Linked DNA regions of Arabidopsis thaliana. The protein of the gene in region 3 interacts with the protein of the main gene of each other region in a pairwise test. Each region holds a gene or a part of one and is shown on either strand. Other genes may lie near its edges.

The links.
Region 1: the proteins of FBH2 (region 3) and MYB37 interact in a two-hybrid assay, tested with the Arabidopsis thaliana proteins (one large-scale study listed by BioGRID).
Region 2: the proteins of FBH2 (region 3) and AT1G50680 interact in a two-hybrid assay, tested with the Arabidopsis thaliana proteins (one large-scale study listed by BioGRID).

Annotation. Positions count from the first base shown.
Region 1 is NC_003076.8:7,694,098-7,698,627, reverse strand, and holds MYB37 (myb domain protein 37), read right to left. Parts: upstream 2,494-4,530; 5' UTR 2,395-2,493; coding exon 2,259-2,394; intron 2,167-2,258; coding exon 2,037-2,166; intron 1,640-2,036; coding exon 916-1,639; 3' UTR 606-915; downstream 1-605. UniProt on the Arabidopsis thaliana protein: Transcription activator of genes involved in the regulation of meristematic competence, such as CUC2.
Region 2 is NC_003070.9:18,777,010-18,780,569, forward strand, and holds AT1G50680 (AP2/B3 transcription factor family protein), read right to left. Parts: upstream 1,606-3,560; coding exon 592-1,605; downstream 1-591. Other genes in the region: AT1G50690 (Cystatin/monellin superfamily protein), read left to right, coding at 2,759-2,932, 3,055-3,398, 3,494-3,503.
Region 3 is NC_003075.7:5,845,685-5,850,305, reverse strand, and holds FBH2 (basic helix-loop-helix (bHLH) DNA-binding superfamily protein), read right to left. Parts: upstream 2,995-4,621; 5' UTR 2,794-2,994; coding exon 2,341-2,793; intron 1,849-2,340; coding exon 1,702-1,848; intron 1,498-1,701; coding exon 1,432-1,497; intron 1,062-1,431; coding exon 993-1,061; intron 860-992; coding exon 806-859; 3' UTR 543-805; downstream 1-542.

The DNA.
Region 1 (4,530 bases), on a different chromosome or scaffold from region 3:
GATTTATAATTATAAGTTTAGATATTAGATTATAGTAAAATTAAATATAATTAATATTTTGTATATTAAAATTATATGTTTGGGTAATGGATAATTTACGGACTGGCCCGATACCCACATGTTTACTAAAACTCTATTCAGTAAAATAATTTTCAACTCTAGATCTTCTCAACCCGGTTTTTTTGTTCGAGTATCAGTTTGGATATTGGGTTCGGTTTTTTTGCCCAGGTTTACTTTCAACAATTTAACTATATTGACTCTAAATATACAATTAGGATTAAATAAAATATATCTTTCATAGGTTTTATGTTAAAACATTATATATAAAATAGTAAGATCATTCGCTACAAATTATTTATCTATCGGACATTTCAGTTTGGAAGTTTAGTTCTTTAGCATATGTGTTGTTAACAATAAAACATATATATGTCTTGCAAGTGCGTATATATCTTTAACTAAAAAAGTGCGTGTATATACGATTTTGTTTGCTATATATAGCATACACATATAATGGTAATAGTCTCATCTAATTATAGAAACAATAAAATGCTATATATGTGTGTGGGCGTGTGTGTGTGTATAGTCGTTCGTATGTATAGATCACATACTTTGTTCTTAGTTTTATCTGAAAGCTGAAATGATCTACTCTTCTCGACCAAAACGAAGATCTACTCTTACATCCTTTTGGGTTTCATCAAATCAAATCTCCCATAGTCCCATTAACATTGTCTCTTCTTAACTAGAAATCCAATAAAGAGAGATAAATAAACAAAAAAAAAATACAAAATCCCATAAAACTGATCATAGTCGCTCTCTATCTCATTCTCTCTCCTCCCATACCCCATCAAATCTTTGATATTACTAACAGTCAGTCCAAGATATATTTATATAAGAAGACAAGAGAGTCTAGAAGAACTAGGAGTAGAAATAGGGCAAGCATTTGTATTCTAGTAGGAGGCTACCACTGCTTTTGTTCTCAGCTAGGTTGCTTATCGAACTAGAAGATGAACCTGAACCACCCATGTTTATGTTAGAATTAGTGCCTGTTCCACTAATCATTTGCTTCAAATCCCCATGCCCATTGTAGTAATTATAATACCCTTGTGTGAATTCCCCATTGTACCCTTTTGTCCTCTGGTCAATGTGGTGGTCTATCATCATCATCATCATTATCTCTTCTTGCTTCATCATAATCTCTGATCTTATCCCATTGACGTCTGAAGAAAAACTGGTGTGGTTCTTGTACTGATCACACATATTGTGGTTGAGCAAGAAACCATTTGCGTTCGAGGTGTTGTTGTTGCTGTCCGAGAGATAGAGATCTTGAGGATAATTAGGGTTAATATAGGAAATTATCTGTTTGTCACCAGCTTCGAAGCCATTGATGCTGGAGATGAGGGATTTTGTTGGGTATTGATTAGGGTTTTCAGCATACGGATTGTAAGAAGAAGATGGGATTGTTGTTGGTGAGGTTGGTCTTTTCACATCCTGAGAAATAGGGTTTAGATAAGGAGAAGCCATGGCTGATGATGATGAATCAGAGGAAGAAGACAAGAGTTTCTTCCTTAGCTTTGTGTTCCAATAGTTTTTTATGTCGTTGTCTGTTCGTCCCGGTAGATGAGCTGCTATTATTGACCACCTACAAGTTTCAATTGATGTATATTAATAGCTAATATTGGAGAAAAGTATAGCACTCTTGATGAATTAAAGTTGCTCGTAGTTTTGACTAAATCATGGAATCAATGTAGCTCGTGATTTTGACTAGATTTATGAAGAAATTAAGCACGTTTGGAAATATTTTGATCATTACTTCAAAATAACACATAAATTCAAAATTAGATTTAGGAGAAATTTTGTTACTATTATAAGATTAATTGAAGGAGAGTGTGAATTAATATTTTCTTTAAACCTATCTAAGCAGATAACTATGAAAGGGCCTTCACAGGCAAGTGGGCGAAAAAATGATTTCATTTCTACATTTTTTGTAAGGATCTTATATGATTAAAGATGATTTCAAAAGGAATTAATTAGAGAACCTGCTTCCTATGGCAGCGAAGAGACTAAAAATGATCCTGTCTTCTTCCTCAGAGAAGTCACCATGCTTTATGTTTGGTCTCAAATAGTTTAGCCACCTCAGTCTACAACTCTTCCCACATCTCCTCAAACCTTAAACCACAACAAAGAATGGCATAAGCTCTTATTTGGGCTTAGAAGCTCGAAAAGGTTATCTAGGATTAAGAACATGTGTATGAACTTACCGGCTTTGAGGGGGAAAGAGATCCAATTTCCACCATTACCATACTTTTCAATGTAATCTCTAAGTTTAGAGTCTTCTTCAGGCGACCAAGGCCCTCGCTTCACTTTTGTCTTGTCGCAACACGGAGCTCTTCCCATTTCTCTCGTTAGTGAATTGAAGTTTGAAGAAGAGAAAAGAAAAAGAGAGAAATTGTTATCTCTTACTTGCTTTTTTTAGGATGGACTTTTTGTGTTTATGGAGGAGTAGTTGAATATGTGCCCTTTTAATAAGAGACTTGGATTTGGACACACCCTATCAATTATTATTATATATTATTATCTGGAGAACCAATTATTTATTTCATTTTGTCTCTAAAGCTATGGGTATGGAGAAGTCAACATGATTGACATGCATGCATATTTATTGTTCGTGTTTGAAAAAATTAGATTTCCAATTATTCATTTTATTTTAGCTCGCGCTTCGTTTGATAAAATTACGTTAAAACAAATTAACTGTTCAAAAGATAAACTTTATTTATCCCTTCTTTATGAGGATTTCAATGTCTTTTATTTCATAACTTGGGGTTAGTCTGGAATATCCCTACCAAAATCCAGAGTAATTCCAGAGTAACTTGGTTGTCAGCATACGCATGGTCCAAACTCCAAACAATCAAAATTGAATCATTAATATCAAGAGAAATGCAAATATTTAAAATCCAGAACTTTGTAATGAGTTGACAAAAAAAAAAGTCATTAACTAAAATTATCAGCAGGTTTCTTGATTTGATCATTCGTCCAAATGTATTTTCATACATATGCACATCAACTTGCTAGTTAGTTTTCATCATGAATTTCAAAAGTAAAAAGGAAAAAGAAAAAAAAAACAGTCCCAAGTGGTGTTGATATTACACGGATAAAAGGAAGAAAACATGTTGGAAGAGAAGATTGCATTGGACGGACCAGTGAACTATATGGAACTGTCTGATTATAAAGTGACAAAAAAACAAAACTCAATTTTTGTGAAATTCTATTAACCAAAAATGTATCATCACGAGTTGACTTACCAATGTTGTTTTTCATTATTACATTTAGTAAAGTGCCAAAAGAACCCTTCATAATTATTCATTCGTACTACTTTGATGGACACTTGCATGCATGAATAAATCTTTTGAATTATTTTTTCACACAAACATATAAATATATGTACATAGATGAGTTTCGTGATATGTGCTCTATATATCTATACATATATGAATATCATGATGATCAGGTGTATTTTTGGCCCGACTAATCAACTTCAGAGCTATAATGACCCATCGATGTATCCATATATATGTGTACAATTGATAGATCTACTGTTTTACATCATTTAAGGTACATGTGTTTGATTTACGCATGCAGATATAGTCACACACTCATTTCCACAAATGTGCAAGTAATATGGTACAAATGGCCAAACAAAAGTTTCCTGATTCGTGGTGTACTCCTTACATTTGCTATATTACATTTACATGTGTTACAAAAGGAACTTATACGTGTAGTTACATTCTTTTAGTCATAATTATAGGGAAATAACCTCTCTCTTTTTCTTGTAAAACTGGTAACTTAGTTGTTATTGTTGAAATGTTGTCTAGTCTTGTAAGATAAATTAAGGGTTTAAAATCTCCAAATTGGGCTGCAAATTCACTACAGCCCAAACATATAGGATATTAGGTTGATAAGTAATTATTAAAAAAAAATTAATTTTTAAATACAAATCTGAAATTAAACATGGTAAATAATAATACACATTGTAATTAAGCTATGTATGTATGTGCCTTACAACTTCTAGATGTTATATGCCGTGAAGAATGTCAAATTAGTATCCTCAATATTCTACTCTTTTAATGTAAAATATAATCAAAAACAATATTCTAAATATATATGTGATGTTGTAGTTAAAAATATGCATATTAATATCTTTATTTTAATTTTATATTTTCTATATAAGAAAAGGTGTCTTTAGTCAAATGGTTGATGGTCTATATTTGTAGTCTTATACGTCGGATTTTGACTCGAGTAAATCGTGTTATCATGTGAAGTACTAGGGACTGGATTTTGGGTGAAGCTTTGTCGAGGCAAATAATGTCAACAATATTTTTTTCTAGGTAAAATTAATTAAAAACACGTAATTTATTGAGTGGTTAATGAAAATAATAAAGAATTTGAACTGCAGGTGATCTTTGGCTTTTTAATTCTTTTGTCAATTTACGATTGCATCAATCCCTTTCTCCTACGTCTGCCCTTGAGTTGTAA
Region 2 (3,560 bases), on a different chromosome or scaffold from region 3:
GAGATCTGATTTTTGGAATTCAAAAAAAAAGAACTAAATAAAAATCGTAATTATGTTCAAAAACAAAAAAATGTAATTTTGCGTTGGAACAAAGAAAAATATTATAATCTTTTTTACTTTTTGTTGGATGTTGTTAAATAGAATTTCTCTAAAATAAATTTTCAGTTGATTTTACATTTATTTTTATAAAATTATTCAAATTTATTAAGTTCATAAATAATCTTTAGTAAGTTTTATTTGTGACATTTTTTTTTTCTTTTCATTTTTTACTCTTTTATTCTTGAGAAATTGATAAAAACTAATTGACCAGTTAACAAATACTATTGATAAGATTTTTTGGTTAAGTCTTTCTTCTTATAAGGCCAAAAGCTTCTGAGCTTGTCATGAGTAAACTAGCAATCTTGGTGGTTATGCATTGCGAGTAGCTCACTTTGATAATGGTTATCGAAATCTAAACCAGTAACGAAGCATTGAGAAAATCATTTAGTAAACCAATCTCTAGTTAAGTAAAACAATTTTGTTAATAAAAATTCATGAGGTACAAGTAAAACAAGTTCTAGTTGAAGTAAGAAACTTTTAAAGAAAAATTCCCTAAGGACATTCGATCCTTACACCAAACAGCATAAACCCTCCTTTGTTCTCCTCTGATTTGGTTTCTTTATCTTCTAACATGGAGCTAACCAAGTTTTCTGTTTTCTTTACTTGCACTGAACTGTCATGAACCGTCATACTTACTTCCTCAGCTACCACGGAACCGTTGTCTGAAAAGCAATGAACATCGATCATCAAGAAGTTCTTTCTTTGACCTTCTAATGTCTTCACATTGTTCGGGACATCGCAAGTGTAGAAGGCAATAACATCCTTCTCCTTGAGATTCTTCTCCTTCACGAAACTATTCCATCCTCTGGTGAAGACAAAGCTCTGGCTACTTTTCCAGTAACAATACCTAAACTTCCATTGTCTCATTGCTCTGTCGTAAAACACAACCTCCACATCTTCCACAGATCCTACTATTTCACCCTCTTCTTTCTCGCTTTGATCAGCGCTTATGAAAGGCATATACTTCACTGCATACTTTTTAGGTATCACAAGCCTATTTAGTTTCCCTACATCGCTCGGTGTCAATTCCTTCTGAAAAAGCTGTGTGCAAGAAAAACACTTGTCTGATTCTTGATTCACTTCTCCTCGGGCTTGTTTTGGTCCCCCGATGTTGATACTCGCAACAATCTGAGATCTGATTCTGAGAAAATCTCTGAATTTGTGTTGGTACGAACCGTCTCTGATCATGTTCAACACAGTCTCTGTTGTGTAGCAATTTTGAAAGTCTGGTTCGTTGAGAGTGATTGTAGACCAAGGGAAGTTCCGGTGCGAGTTAGCGTCAAAGCTTCGGAGTTTGATAGATGCACTATCGTAAGCCGTGGCGGCTTCATCAGCGGATTTGAAAGTTCCAAGCCAAATCCTTTTGTGGTCTGCGTAAATCTGGGCACCCCAATGACCGTTCTGTTGCTGAACGACTCCTTTGTACTTGACATTGCCAGAAGCCACAACCGTCTTTGGTGAAGACGAAACCACTAGGGCGTTTTCTGGTTCGTCATCAAGTCTCATGCGTTTCTTGAGAGGCAAGAAAGAGTCGCTTGAACCTGAAGACACTGAAGTCTCCGTCTTTGCGTCGTCGATGTTGTTCATTAGAATTCAAGAAACAGAGTAGTAGAAAGATACGAGAGACAGAGAAAGAGAAGCGAAACAAAACGATGAAGAAATATGAGGAACAGAGAGAGAACTATATAAAGAGAGCAAATCGTGGGAGCAAATTGTGTTTCTTAATCTTGTTGTTTCTTGCGGTGCTTGAGTATTTATCAAGTTATCATTTTCCATTTTCTATTTGTTGTAGTTTCTATAATTTAGCTATGAGAGAAAATTATGGAAAGTATTGAAATTAAAGAATTTCCATGTTTCGTCGGTTCATTAATTACTTGATATATCTGATTGGATAAAAAATGGAAATACGTGAGAGAGCCGCTGGAAAATATCATCAAGTAACTTATTAGGGTTTTATGTTTACCCTAATTTTATCATTCATTAACAAAACGTTTCTCATCTCATGTGGTTGAGTATTTTTTTTATTTCTTCATTATTATTTGTTTTCCAATAAGTCAACTAAAAACAAAAGAAAAATTAACAAAAATATTTCTCTATGTAAAAATTTAGCAAGTTTTGAGAAGCAGAAAAAGGTACACAGTAAATGGAAAGAATACAAAACGTACGTTTAATGATGTACAACAATTAGGCTTTTGCAATCACCACGATCACGACCAATTAGGGTTACACATCTGCTTCCGTGATGGGCAAATAAGACATCTGAGATTCCTAATTTAAAACTTCAGAAATTTAATTTTGATGAGATTTCGTCTACTTGATTATACGAAAGGAAGGAATAGTTATGATTTGATTTGACTTTTAATTTTCCGGATTTGGATTTTTAACTTTGAAAACTAGTGAGTATTTTTTAACCAAATTTAACCGATCTAGATTAATTTTAACAACCACAATGATGATAAGGTTTTACAATAATCATCTACTAGCTAGTTTAGTGTCTCTACACGAATTTTCTCTCTTGGAGGCTTGATATTTTCTTAGTCACTTTTTTTCTTTTTGTTTTTTGTTTGTTGTGCACACTATAAATAGAAGAGGGACCTTTTTTTTATCTTGAATGATAGAAGAAACAGAGAATTAGGGTTTCATCTAATCTGCCATAGTTATGGATCCGCAGGTGGTGGTCGATAAGAAATCTGAGGAGCCTGATCTGAAGCGTCAGAAGCTGGAGGAGGAGGAGGAGGAGGATTGCGAAGAGATGTCTTCGTACAGCGAGTCGACGTGTAGTTTCGATTCGGAAGATGAACGATTGGTCGAAGAAGAATACCAAAGAAGCGGGGTATGTAGTTGTAATGATCCACCAATCTCTCCTTCGCTTCTTACTTTTTCGAATTGAGATTTTGTCTGTGATTTCAAAAGCATTATGTCGGCTTCTCTCATGAATGTGATTGTTGTCTGTAGTATTACGACTTTGACACCACGAAACAAAGACGCCTTGTGTTTTGCTATCCTGTTATCTTCGAGGATAGTGACGTTGCTCATAAACCCGAAACCGACGGAGATTTGGTTCATAGATTATCCAAGATTGCTCTTCAGAAATACAATGATGATAAGCTGGAAAATCTTGAACTTGTGAGAGCTGTCAAGGCTAATCGGAAATATGGAGCCGGATTCATTTTCTACATCACCTTCGAGGCCAAGGATGCTAATTCTCACACTGACCCCATTACTTTTCAAGCTGCCGTTCGCTACCTTCGAGGGATTGAAACGGTCTACCGTGTCCACCCTAAACCATTATTAGATTCGTAAGCTCTAAAATTTTCCCATCCTACTAAGTTTAAGTTGTTATTGATATGTGTTTTGGTAAAATCTTGTTTTTTTTTGTGTGTTTACTGTTTAGGACCAAGTAGTGGCAGATGTAACGGGATGTTCCTTTGTATAATGACATTCTACTCAACTTTCTATTT
Region 3 (4,621 bases):
ACTCAAAGCGTGGATGCGAGTCCAAGATTAGGTGTAGCAGAGTACATTGGTGAAGGCATGGGAGTCGTTCCAGAGCTTATCATCCCTTCTATGTTTTGAACTCCCTTGTTCTTTGTTTTCAAGTTGATGGTTCATGGAAAACCAAAACAAAAATGTGCAGCCAGTTTGGTTTTAATTTGATGGCTTCAACCAGATTCATCTAATTGGTTTGAAAGGATTTCAAATATATTTCATGTCTTTACACTAAGAACTCCTGACACTACACTACTTTTGGTAGCGCGGTATGCGGAATGATTTATTTCGAAACTGATTGCAGCGGATTTAGTAAGATGATTAACCCTTTTTCGCTATAAGATTTAATCTACACTGCAATAAACAAAGACCCGATTATCTTGCCGGTTCGACAAAACATCGAGCAATTCTGTCCTCGTTTGCAAACTCGTTGCGGATTGGTTGCACCACTAAGCAATCTTATTCCATGATGGTTAGTAATCTAGTATGTTAGCTGTAACTGTATGAATGAGTTTTAAAAACACTGTAATACACATCTTGAAAATACTTTACTATAATCAAACAACATGAAATCAAAGTCATTTCACTAATATCATAAAGAATATATGTTTTCATTAATTCTTTTTAACTTTCTTCATTATTGTACAAAAATTTTATATTACACCTACATCCATTTATCAAATAATATACTTTTCAACATGACATCCATCTAAATTCAAGCTAAGATCATCTTTCGAATTTTTCGATCAGATCATTGCCGTTAAGCAAATATAAAACAAATCAGGAGCAAACCTTATTGTTCTTCCTTAGGTATGCATGTGCACCTCTTCTGTTCTTCTGTTAACTCCTATATTATCCACACCAAAATAAACCAACTCATAACTCTTTTTACTATATACTGTTGACTAATCATTTTTAATTCATCTATTGGGTTCCTCTAAAAGGTTTTGTGTGTATATATATTAACTTAGATAATTTACCTGGATCTGCCTTTGAAGAACTTTCACGTATTCTACTGCTTCTTCTAACATGTCTGCAGTGTTGGTTTGCTGCAACAAAGACAAAAAAGTTAACCGATATACTCAAAGCCTAGATTCCAAATCTCCATATATACCAAAACCAAAAGTTTTCCTCAGTTTGTTCATAATCTATAGAGAGGAAACCAAGTTCATACTTATTTGATCGAGGTGACAACAATTCAAGTCCATATCAAGATCCATTCCACAGTTTGTGAATTACTTAGTTACAGAGCTGAGAACCGTGTCTCTGAAGTTGCATCACAACCATTAACAGTCATATTTAATTTGACCTCTAACTTCTACACTTGATTTAAGCATAGATAATCTTTGACCTATTTCTAGTCAATATAATTGTGTAACCGAGGTCATCAGATTATACCTAAGCTGAAAATTATATTACCTTGTCCATGTTAGGTACAAGCTCTTGTAGCTTCCTTATCCGATCACTAATCCGCGTCCTTCGTACCTACACAATGAAAGGTAAAGATAAATATACACTGACCAGAACAGAACAATCCTCTGTTCAATGAAGCATACAGTGCATCATTAAACATCCGTAAATTGAAAGTAAAGATATAAGTTGTATCACTAAACTTCAATGTATAAAGTTAAGAGAACCTTGATCACTACACTTCCAAAACATTGAAAATAAAGATTGAATGTTGTTTACCCTCTCGGCAATGCTGCGGGGATGAGTTGCGCAACCACGTTTAGCCCGAACCCTAAAAGCAACAGAGTCCTCCATAAGGTTCTCCATGTTCATATCCGACATGCTTGATACTCCGGTAGGAACTTGACCGCTGCTTTGCTCTCCTTTCTACTTACAGAAAAAAATTCCAAAAAGCGCAAATCAGCACTAATACCTTAATCAACACATAGGTAACACATATGTTCCCAAAATTTTGATCAAGTGTAGTTACTTAATACTAAGTAGACCAATGTACCAAAAGGTGTGGAGAATCAATACATTTGTACACATTAACCACCGAAGTATGTATCATCATGTGGACTTATGGTCTTCTAAACACTTTACCCATAGGAGCATTCTTTAATGTTCACATTGACACATTAAAGCCACAGAGCCAACAACAAAAACTGCCATTTTTTTTTTTTTGAGTTAAAATAGAAACTGCAACTTGCTTAGTTTGGTTCAGAAAAACACAAGTTGTCAATTTTAAGACAAGACTGGTCTTTTCAATCTCGAGAACTTGGTCAGCAAATTAACTAAAACAAGTAATAAGTCAGTTAAGTTCATCCTATTTTTGGCAAGTATAAGAAAACCCTAATTTAAGAACTAATTTTGGTTTACCATTTGAGAAGTAAACTCAGGAGAAGAGAAGAGTGCTTCCATTTCTCTAGACCGCTTACTTCCCGGAGAAACATCGATATTCCCCGATAAGTAATCGTAATTCGCCTGAATCCCAAAGCTTTGGATAAATCCATCAGAACCACTAAGAAAATCCGCCGGAGTACTATTCTGTCGGTGAAACCCACCTTGTTGATACAACCCTTGCTCAACAGGAATCGGGAACTCGAACGAGCCGCGACTTGTCGGTAAATCGTTCGAGTTCCCGGTAAGCAAATCGGTGAGACCAAGATTAGGTTTCAAAGACTCTTCTTCATCTTCCTCAAGTAAAGCTTCAAGCCAAGTCGCTGGAGCTGAACGGATCCGAGATAGTCCACTTCTACTTAGCCCTCCTCCTCCTCCTCTGCCTCCTCCGTCGTCACCACCGCCGCTACTACCGACGGATGTTGGTTGCATCCCCTTTGGCTTTTCTCTGGTTTCAATAGACACTACGAAAGCTTTTTTTCTCTTTCTTTACATTTTTTTTTTTGTTTCTTGCTCTGTTTTATTTTTTTCTTTAATTAATACATCAGCAGACCAGATTGTTGTTGTTCTTGGGTTATTTTTTTATTTATTTGTTTCAATAAAAAAATTGCGGCTAGTAATAATAAAGAACCCTAACCGTCTGATTAAGATACTTTTCTAACACTTGACTAAAAGATAAAGATAGTACAGAACCTAAAAAGGTTAGAGATGCGTCAGCGCGTAACAGAGAAACATTGCTTTAACGTCTCTTTTGTTATCTTTTTTTTTATGTAATAGATTATGGTTTACACCACTCTCGATGGAGGCGCGTAGTTTCCACCTTCTCGGTCCAATTCCGATATGTGAAAAATTAGCGACTTCGTATGTCTGCAAAATGCAACTTTTATTTAGTTGAGCTGCTTTGTAGAATTACAACATTTTAAAAGCTTTTGAAGAATTACAATATTTTAAAAAAGCTTTTGAAATTTTTTGTCTTTATTTTATATTAGAGTTATTCTCTGTTGTAACAATGTCTGTGTTGATTGCCTAACAAAAAATATAAGAACACGAAGTTTTTTTTCTTTTTCATGTAAGTACATCGACTCCGGATTAGTTCTCCTAACTTAATAAAATGGTCGCTGGTGAAAAAAAGTAAAGAATAAAAAACCATCCTATTAAAAAAAATATTACAATCTTAAAAAAAAATTACTTCATTTTTTAAATTTTTTTTGTTACTTTCGTTTTTAATTTATGGTTAAAATTTTATTTATTAATTTTAATTCTCATATATTATTTTTAAGATTTAAATGTTTATAAAATAAATAAAATAATTTGAAAGCACTTTTACAACTCGTGTGGTGTTCGGGTTGCCCGGCCATAAAAAATTCCCACAGAGTTTTTCAATCTCATCAAAACCGGTGATCGAAAAATTGAACACCAAAAACTGAAAATCTATACTATATAAAAGTTGAGGCTATTTGCTTCTAAAGCCGTCCACATAGGATTTAGAACGACCAATCGAAAGCTGCCACATCAATAATTAACATATTTAGCATTTAATTATTTAACATTTTTTAAAACAACTAATCGGAAGCTGTCACATCAATAATTAACATATTTAACATCTAATTAATTAACATTTTTAAAAATAATAATTACTTTCCATTTTAAAATTTAAAATAAAAAACGAAAATAACAAATATTAAATTTAAACTTATAAAAAAGGAAGCAATATAATTATAATTAAATAATATTAAACCTAAACCCTTACAGAATTTTGGGAGATTTGCAAAACTACTCTTTTTTTACTACCCTTTTGCAACAATATCTTTTTATGTTGTCCTTTTTTAAAAATACCATTTCCCTTGAACAGAATGACCAAATTATCCTCATCTAATAGGAACATGTAATTAGAAACTGAAATTTTCCCACCAAATTTTTGCACCAAAAATTTATTTTTCTCGCCAAAAAAATTTTCTGGCAAACTTTTTTCCCACCAAAAAGAAAAATCCCGCCAAAAAAATGATTATGCAAATCCTTGTAAAATTGTTTTGGGAAAAAATATATTTTCAAGAGATTTTAAAAGGGTTTTAAAATATTTACAAGGGATTTTAAAAGGGTTTTAAAAAATTTACAAGAGATTTTAAAAGTATTTTAAGAGATTTATAAGAGATTTTAAAAGATTTTAAAATATTTACAAGAGTTTTTAAAGGGTCTTCTTGTAAATTCTTTAAATATCTTTTAAAAACACTTGTACATCTTTAAAAATCTCTTGTAAATC